2 linked regions of the Danio rerio genome follow. The protein of the gene in region 1 purifies or fractionates together with the protein of each later gene. This does not show direct contact. Links are inferred from orthologs where the notes say so. Each region holds a gene or a part of one and is shown in the gene's direction. Other genes may lie near its edges.

Region 1 (3,828 bases):
ACTGTGACTTTAAGGCTAGTCCTTCACACCCACCGTTTCCATGTGCCTGTCAGTGTGCCTTAATCTCCTCCCTCGGCTGCTTATGTTAATGTGAAAAATTAACCTGATTCAATGTCCACAATCCGGGATTTAAGCGTCTTCTTTTAGAATTGTACTCACACGCGGCTGTGGTGATAAAGTAAATCTGAAGTAATTTGCTGTACTTCATTACACACGTAAACTGTTTTAAAACATTCTAACCTTGTAAAACTCATTCTCGATCACATGTGATGATGATTGATGATCCTAGTAAACTGAAGAGACCTTTTATTCCCGGTTGCTTTACGCACGTCCTGTCTTGTTGATATGATTATACTCGTTACTATGGAGACATGTTAATACGCAGCTGTCAATCAATTCGGTGGGCAGGGGGGACCGCACTACTATGTCAAGTTGCGGTCGGGCTCAAAACCGCTCCAATTGGTCCACCATTTTTATTTTGTTAAATGGAAAAAAAGGACTGTGTGTGTTTATATCACCCCAATATGACAGTCTATACACTATATCTACACATATGTCTGTCCAGACAGCTTGAAAAGTAGATTTTTCACCTTAGGTGCCCTTTGAGGATGAACTTTCTCTCAGAGAGAAAAAAGCACCCAAACCCCCTTTCTGTACGCAACTGTAGTTTATAACAAAGTAAAATGAAATAACTCTGCAAACAGAGTTAAACCAACTCTGCCTTCACAGTTCAGTCTGCTGCTGCTCATTAACCCTTAATGAGTTCTCTACACTGGTGGTCAGAAAGACGTGCACTGCGGTTGTCATATGTCATAATGATCAGTGTTTTCTATCGCAATTGACTTATTTTAGGATTCAAACGCCGAAATACACAGTAGTAGTTGCAGAAAAACCCTTTACAGTTCATGAAATGAACCTCGGTTGTCTGTGAAAAGGGCAATGATCATATTAAGCATAATCTGACAGCATGCTTTATTCAGTACATCCTGTGCATATTTAGACATTTTGTGGTGTCTTTAACTGTACTTTTGCGCATGCGGGTCAGTTTAGAACCATGATCTGTACACACTTCAAATCTGATATTGGTCACATTTATACAGGGTTCATACGATCATAGAAAACCTGGAAAAGTCATGGAATTTTGACATGGCATTTTCCAGGCCGTGAAAAGTTTTGGAAAAGCAGAAAAACCCACAAAGTTTTTGAAAAGTCATGAAGATTAGTTCAACAAATATCTGTTTACTTGGCTGCACGATATTGGAAAGATCTGACATTAAAATATGTTGTATTTCTGTGATGTATATTGCGATGGGAATACAATTTCGCCAGATGATTTAACAGGTTCATTTGGATTGATTGGGGGGATTTTGTAGAGGAGTGAATCTCGAATAATAAATAACAAATAAATTACAAACATAGATCAATCAAATATAGTAAAGATAAAAGTGAATTATGGTTTTCAGGTAGTCGCTATTCAGGTACAGATGTTGAATAATCAACACTGCATATTCTTCATTGTATATTATTTAATCTTTATCAAAGTTACAAAAAATGTCTTGTGGCCGGATGGTTTAAAACTTGAAATATTGAAATGTTCACACAGTCACAGGCCTTAAAGGGACAGTTTACTCAAAGATTAAAATGTGCTCACTATTTACTTACACTTTACTTGTTTCAATACTATAGGAGTTATTAAATTATATTCTTTTTGTGTTCGTTAAAAAAAAGAAAACTCATAAATGCTTGTAAGGAAGGGTGTAATGAAAATGGTAAGTAGATTTTGGATGAACTATGTCTTTAAAAATGCATGCAGATGACAAACTTTTAATCCATTATGATTAAACTATAGTCTCAACATTGCATATCCTGCGATGTGACTATTGCGGATGCACACATTGCGATATCGATGCTGAAACAATATATTATGCAGCCCTAACTTAATTATAGGTTAGTTGTCTTTACTTATTTTCAGTCCTTGGCCAAAAACTTGCTCTCACATTGTTAGTGCTGTGTAAGCATTATCAAAATAAGTTTTACATAGATATAAAAACAAATTGAAAGAAAATAGATTGTTGCTTGTTCTATGATATGCTGTAATACATTTGAACATCATTGTTTTTCTTATTATTTTTCATGTATGTGTAGACATTACATGAAACATTACGTTATGAATATGTACTTGAAAGTTCTAGAAAAGTCTTGTAATTTTAGTAGTAATAATGTGTATGAACCCTGTCTATAACAACAGTGTTAACAGCTATGCAAAAAAAAAAAAATCAGATCTGAGAAAAAATCAGATTTGAGCACTTGCAGTGAGAACATTGCCTTATACTGACCACAGATTTATGAATGGTGTAAAATTAAATGTCAAAGCATCATTTCAAATTCAACTTTTTTTTTTTTTAGACCAGTATCTGATATTTGGCACAGAAGATGGCATCTACACTCTCAACCTGAACGAGCTGCATGAAGCCACCATGGAGCAGGTATGATTTGTTTTCACGTTTACCCTCCACCACAAATAGATCAATGCACCAAAAGTACTCTTAACCTACTACATTGATCTTTTTTAGCTGTTTCCTCGACGGTGCACATGGCTGTACATAATCAATAATAATCTGATGTCATTATCAGGTGAGTGAGAATAACGGGAGAGGCTCTTCTTTCTGTCTTTGTTAATGAGATTCTCTACGGTTGCTTCATGGTCCTCTTCTGTCTTTCTCTCTGTCTCTCTGTGTTCACGGTTGATTTTACTGCTTTGCTGGCTCTGCTAATGCCTAAATCACCATAATCAGAAGGTAAAAAGGCAACCCTCTGTCCTGTACGGCACACATGCACACAGCTAACATCACATCACCTTTCTGGCAACATTCTTACTCTGATTCTAATTTGGGTTCAACTTGCGTAACTACACAGCTGAGCTTGTCTTCGTGCAGGGTGTAATGACTGTTGTTTCCCATTTTCTTCAGCACAAGCGTCACAAGTTGTGTAATGTGTAGGATGTCCTGTGTGTGGTCATTTGCCGTGCGTGTAATGTGTGTTATCTCTCGTTTAAAGGGAAGACGTTTCAGTTGTATTCGCATAATTTGATTGGACTGTTTGAACAGCTCAGGAAACCTGGACTGGCCACTCAGTTTCACACCCACAGATTCCCTGACAAGATACTGCCCAGGTACACACACTCACAACACACTTTTTACAACTCGTTTATTTGGATTTTAGTAGTATTATAAAAGTAATAAATGCTATAAATGTTGTAAGATTTCTTCAAGAAACAACTATTTAGAAGAAAATGTTTAATACTGCACTTACAAATGAGGGTCAAAACATGCTTAATTTTGATTGGATTTAAAAAATATTTTTGTTTTATTTTAGTATGATTTGCTTATCCACCAATGACGGCTGGGTTTAGGGGTGTGGGTGCCATGCCTCCTTTTTTGTATCTTACATTTTCATACGACTAAACTTGTACAAATTAGCCACTAAACTGACAAAATGTGAAATAGTTATGTTTCCTCGTGAGAACATCACAGTGTGGTATGGCAGAGCATAGATGTGGTCTTTCTCTCTGAGAAGGCTGTCAAACTGATGCTTCTGGATTGGATGAAATTAACAGTTTGTAAATGCGCCGTCCAGTGGACACAATTGGAACTGCAGTTACTTTTATTGAAAAATTGCAGCTTATTTTTATACTTTGCAGAATCATCTCGTAGGCCAGATTAAACTCATTTGTGGGCCTGATCCGGCCTGTGGGCTGTATGTTTGACACCACTGTTCTAAAGCAATCTGTCTTACAGTTCTATTTCAGTAATGCCAATTAACTTTTGT
Region 2 (4,270 bases), on another chromosome or scaffold:
TTTAATATTACAATGCTAATTAAGATAAACTCTTGTTAAATAAACCCACTGAAATGGGTACAAAGGATTTCTTATACAAACAATGTTTAAACGCAGGCTGCTGTTGTCCTAATACTTTGCCATTATAGTTGTTGGTGGTCTTTTTTTAATTCTATATTTAAAAAGGTCTATAGGTTATACTGCAACTAAATACATTCTGGTGTAGCTAGAATGAGTAAAATGAGATGTAGAATGAATACCCTCAATTATTAACTGAATTTACACAAAAAAAATGCAATTTAACTTTAATGTTTTACTGATTTAGAAAAGTAAATTCGGCTTGTGCACATTTTCTTCAGTTTCTTCCACCGATAAATGTTTAAATTCATTAGGCACCAACATATCATAAATTTATCAAAAAGTTGAACATGTGAAGCTAATATATATAACTCCCCGTGTAAACAACAGGTATCCAGATAGGATGTGATCCAAGCTTGCCTTCCAAAATGTAAGCAAAAATACAGCACTTTAAAGCTTTTACTCACGCTAGGCTCTGTCAGTGCCCTGTGTGTCTCATTATCGCGGTTCAGAGAGTTTGAAATGCAGCCCCTCTGAACGCCACTCATTTCATTCTTCCTTTTAAGTAACAGGCGCTCGGGGCGTTCGTGACGGGCGATCAGACAGACCGTGAGCGCGCGCAGATCCGCCCTCCAGACGCCATTTCTCGGACGGTGTGGGGAGCTGAAGCAGCCTTTACACCAATCCCGAGAAGGAAAGGAGGACATAGAAAACAGAATTTTTAAGAAAGGTCTTCTCGCTCGTACTGTAGCGTGAAAGACGCGCGCGTCAGAAAAAAGAGCGCCGTGCAAGGCGGGAAACTTTATGTTTCTAGATTTTTCACAATTCGTTGTTTGTGAAGACGTGTTGCGGGCCGCCATTTTTGTTACAGCTCTCTAAGTCTGCTTGGAGTCAAAATTAGAGACACAACTCTTTCGTGCTTTGGGGCAGAACGCAAAGAAGAACTCGTTTTTGGAAGCAACTGACGTACGTCGGCTTGAATTGTCATGCTGAGCGATTTAGTAACATATTATGGCGCTGTTTGGCTCCTCTTGAGCGGACGGTGACTGAAGACGGCTAGCTCAGCTAACGCGTTATATTGTCTCATAAGCTGCAGCTACTTTCACGGAAGAGAGAGCGGAAAGGGGAACTTTGATTCCAAATACGTGTATTTGAGCTCGCTCTGAACTTTTGGGGTTATTTACACCTCTCCTAAAACCGCCGCGAATCTTGTGTTGGTGGAAAATTTAGCAATGCATCAAAGTTGGTTGACGCTAGTCGCAGCCTGTCTGGTCAAACGTCAGGTTGCGGTTCAGTAGGACTGACGGGTCTAGAAGTGCTAGGTCGCTTGTAAGAATAAGCATTTGTTGTTTTAATTTATTGCTCGTTTTGCTTTTTTTCACCCGTGTTCGTCAGTTACAAGTGTATTTCGAATAAACATGTCGTCTGCACGGTTCGACTCCTCAGACCGAGCCAGCTGGTATTTCGGGCCGGTTTCGAGACAGGAGGCGCAGAATAGGCTACAGGGACAGAGACACGGGATGTTTTTAGTGCGAGATTCGTCCACTTGTCCTGGTGATTATGTACTTTCAGTGTCCGAAAACTCCAAAGTTTCGCACTATATCATCAACTCTTTGCCAAGCAAGAGATTCAAGATAGGCGATCAAGAGTTTGATAATCTACCCGGCCTTTTGGAGTTCTATAAAATACATTATTTGGATACGACCACCCTGATAGAACCAGCACCAAGGTAAGAGTTTTTTTCATTTACTTTTGACATCGTCACATCATCCACCCCTCTTCTCAATAATGTTCTTTTCCCTCCCCTTCTCTTCTGTGGCAAGCCGTTTAAACATTCGAAGTAACCAGGATCTGTTTTTATTGACTCATTTTTGTCATCGTTACTTGCTAGACTATATTTTTAAGTTGCATTAGTTACCAGTTATTACTCATCTATTTTGTACGTTTTCTGTTGCAACAATACTCCAATACCCAGTAGTGTATTGTGTAAGTAACCTGTAATTGCAACGGAAACTAAATTTCAAATCTTTGCAAGTTGAAGCTTTTTGGATGTTTCTGGAAATGCTTTCAGTTTTACTTTTAATTTGACACTGGCATTTATATTTTAGCTAATAAGTAACACATTGCATGGTTTTATTGTGGTCTGACTACTGTGGTCTGCTAGTAAGGTTATTTTTGAGCTATCATAATAATTTTTTTTTCACAAAGTGGCAAGTAAAAAAAAGTTGTTACAAGATAAATATTGCTAGTTACAACTAGTAAAACTGGAAAGACAGCAGTTTGTTACTAGCATAATTTTCTTAGTGACTGTCCTCTAAAAATTTGACTCTACTAGTCCATTAAAATCATGTTTTTTTGTATAGCCAATTCAATTATAAAGCAGAATTTTTTATATTTTGATGTTGTAATTAAAACGTATTATCAGAGATAATTTGACAGAGATTCGGCTTAGTTATGATTAAATATTATTTTGCTAAATATTACAACTTATGATTGTAATGAATGAATCATTTGGAAACTTTGTACATCTGTCAAAAATGGACGTCATCTGCAAGTCTTTATAAGTTGATAGTAATGTAAAAGTATTGATTAGTTTTGGCTTACTTGCTAGACAAAAAGTATCATTAGTTGGCAAAAATGCAATCTCAATAATTATTTTCCATATTGACAATATGAGCAATTCCATGCAAATGTCAACCTTGCTATGAATTTTTTTTATGTTTTTTACCAAAATAGCTAAATTCTTTTTTTGTGTGTGTGTGTGTGTGTGTGTGTGTGTGTGTGTGTGTGTGTGTGTGTAGGCTTGTATTTTACTGGACTGAAAAATCAATTATATTTAATTTATCAAAGTCGCACAAGTAGCAATTTTACATCCGTCACATCCATAGCAGAGAGACGTCACATCCATAACTAACTTAACTTTTTTTTTCAATAAATACAAAAATGTAAAATAAAATCAAGATTTTTTTTGTTCTATAGAGAGCCAACTCTCATCCTTTTAATTAGCATTATTTCATTTGAGTTTTGCTGTTTTAATTCACATAATTTCTTCAAAGTATGCTGTATACTGTAACTTGCAGACTTTTTTGGTCATATCCATAACGCATGTTTATTTTCCTCATTTAAAGTATGAAAAATGTTTACAGATTGATATTTTTTAGATCCCTTAACTTGGTGGTTAGTTGTTTTTGATTGTTAAAATATACTTTTTTCTGTGAATTTATGTTTTGAGTTTTTGTAAATGTTATATCTATAATGCTGAAATTGCTCATATTTCGATGCAAGTTGTTAATGCTTCCAGATGTAAAAGTGTATGCCAACAATGACTGAAGTCACAAAAATTAGAGGGACCATTAAATGGCATAATATATGTTTGGCCGATAAATTTTTGGTGGCCGAACATTGGGTGCATCTCCAATACCAACACACTTTTAGATACCCATTGTTGCACATTTCTGCTGTGTAATTAGGTCAATATCAAGTAAAAAATTTCAGAGCTTATCATTGATATAAATTTTCGCGACTCGATATAATACAGTTTATCGGCCCAGAATTAATCATTAGCATAAATTGATTCACTAAGTGTAAGCTATAACTGTTAAAACTGCTTGCCATAGGTTTGGTGGCTGTTTAGTATTACTCTTACAATGAGAGTAATGAATTAAACATCTGTAGTTCCCCTCAATTTTGTTCTGGTTCTTTATAAAATGTTCTTTTTGAGATGTGCAGTAAAGAAAAATTAAGTTATTTCCCTTTAAGATAACAGGAAGTTACTCTGCATGTGAAAGTGCACATCGAGTAGATGATTAAATATTACAAAAGGCCTCCACTAGCGAGAAGCTGATTAAAGTGTTTGCTTTTAGATGGGCTCTTAAATGCTGCTTTTCTAGTTTATAAGTCGATCCTAAATATGATTTGATTGTTGTTCTACAGGTACCCCAGTACTGCTCTGCCCAGTGGTCCTATTCAGCCATCTGGAGGACTGGGTGATGAGAACCAGGAGTATGTGCGGACTCTTTATGACTTCACTGGCAGCGATGCTGAAGACCTTCCTTTCAAGAAGGGTGAAATCCTAATAATTATGGACAAGCCTGAGGAGCAGTGGTGGAGTGCCAAGAACAAAGAAGGCCGAACAGGCATGATTCCTGTTCCCTATGTAGAAAAGCTTGTGAGATCTTCGCCTCATCCTGGTCAGTCCATCCATGGTTCACGG

Evidence for each region.
Region 2: the proteins of map4k5 (region 1) and crkl purify together in Homo sapiens (affinity purification with western blotting; 3 studies listed by BioGRID and IntAct, with this or other methods). This does not show direct contact. The link is inferred for Danio rerio from reciprocal best matches to the Homo sapiens genes MAP4K5 and CRKL.

What each region holds. Positions count from the first base shown.
Region 1 is NC_133188.1:40,182,465-40,186,292, reverse strand, and holds part of map4k5 (mitogen-activated protein kinase kinase kinase kinase 5), read left to right. Parts: intron 1-2,406; coding exon 2,407-2,486; intron 2,487-2,573; coding exon 2,574-2,634; intron 2,635-2,795; exon of another isoform or gene 2,796-3,054; coding exon 3,055-3,172; intron 3,173-3,828. UniProt on the Homo sapiens protein: May play a role in the response to environmental stress. Appears to act upstream of the JUN N-terminal pathway.
Region 2 is NC_133196.1:20,316,068-20,320,337, forward strand, and holds the start of crkl (crk-like protein), read left to right. Parts: upstream 1-1,190; 5' UTR 1,191-1,475; coding exon 1,476-1,786; intron 1,787-3,990; coding exon 3,991-4,270. UniProt on the Homo sapiens protein: May mediate the transduction of intracellular signals.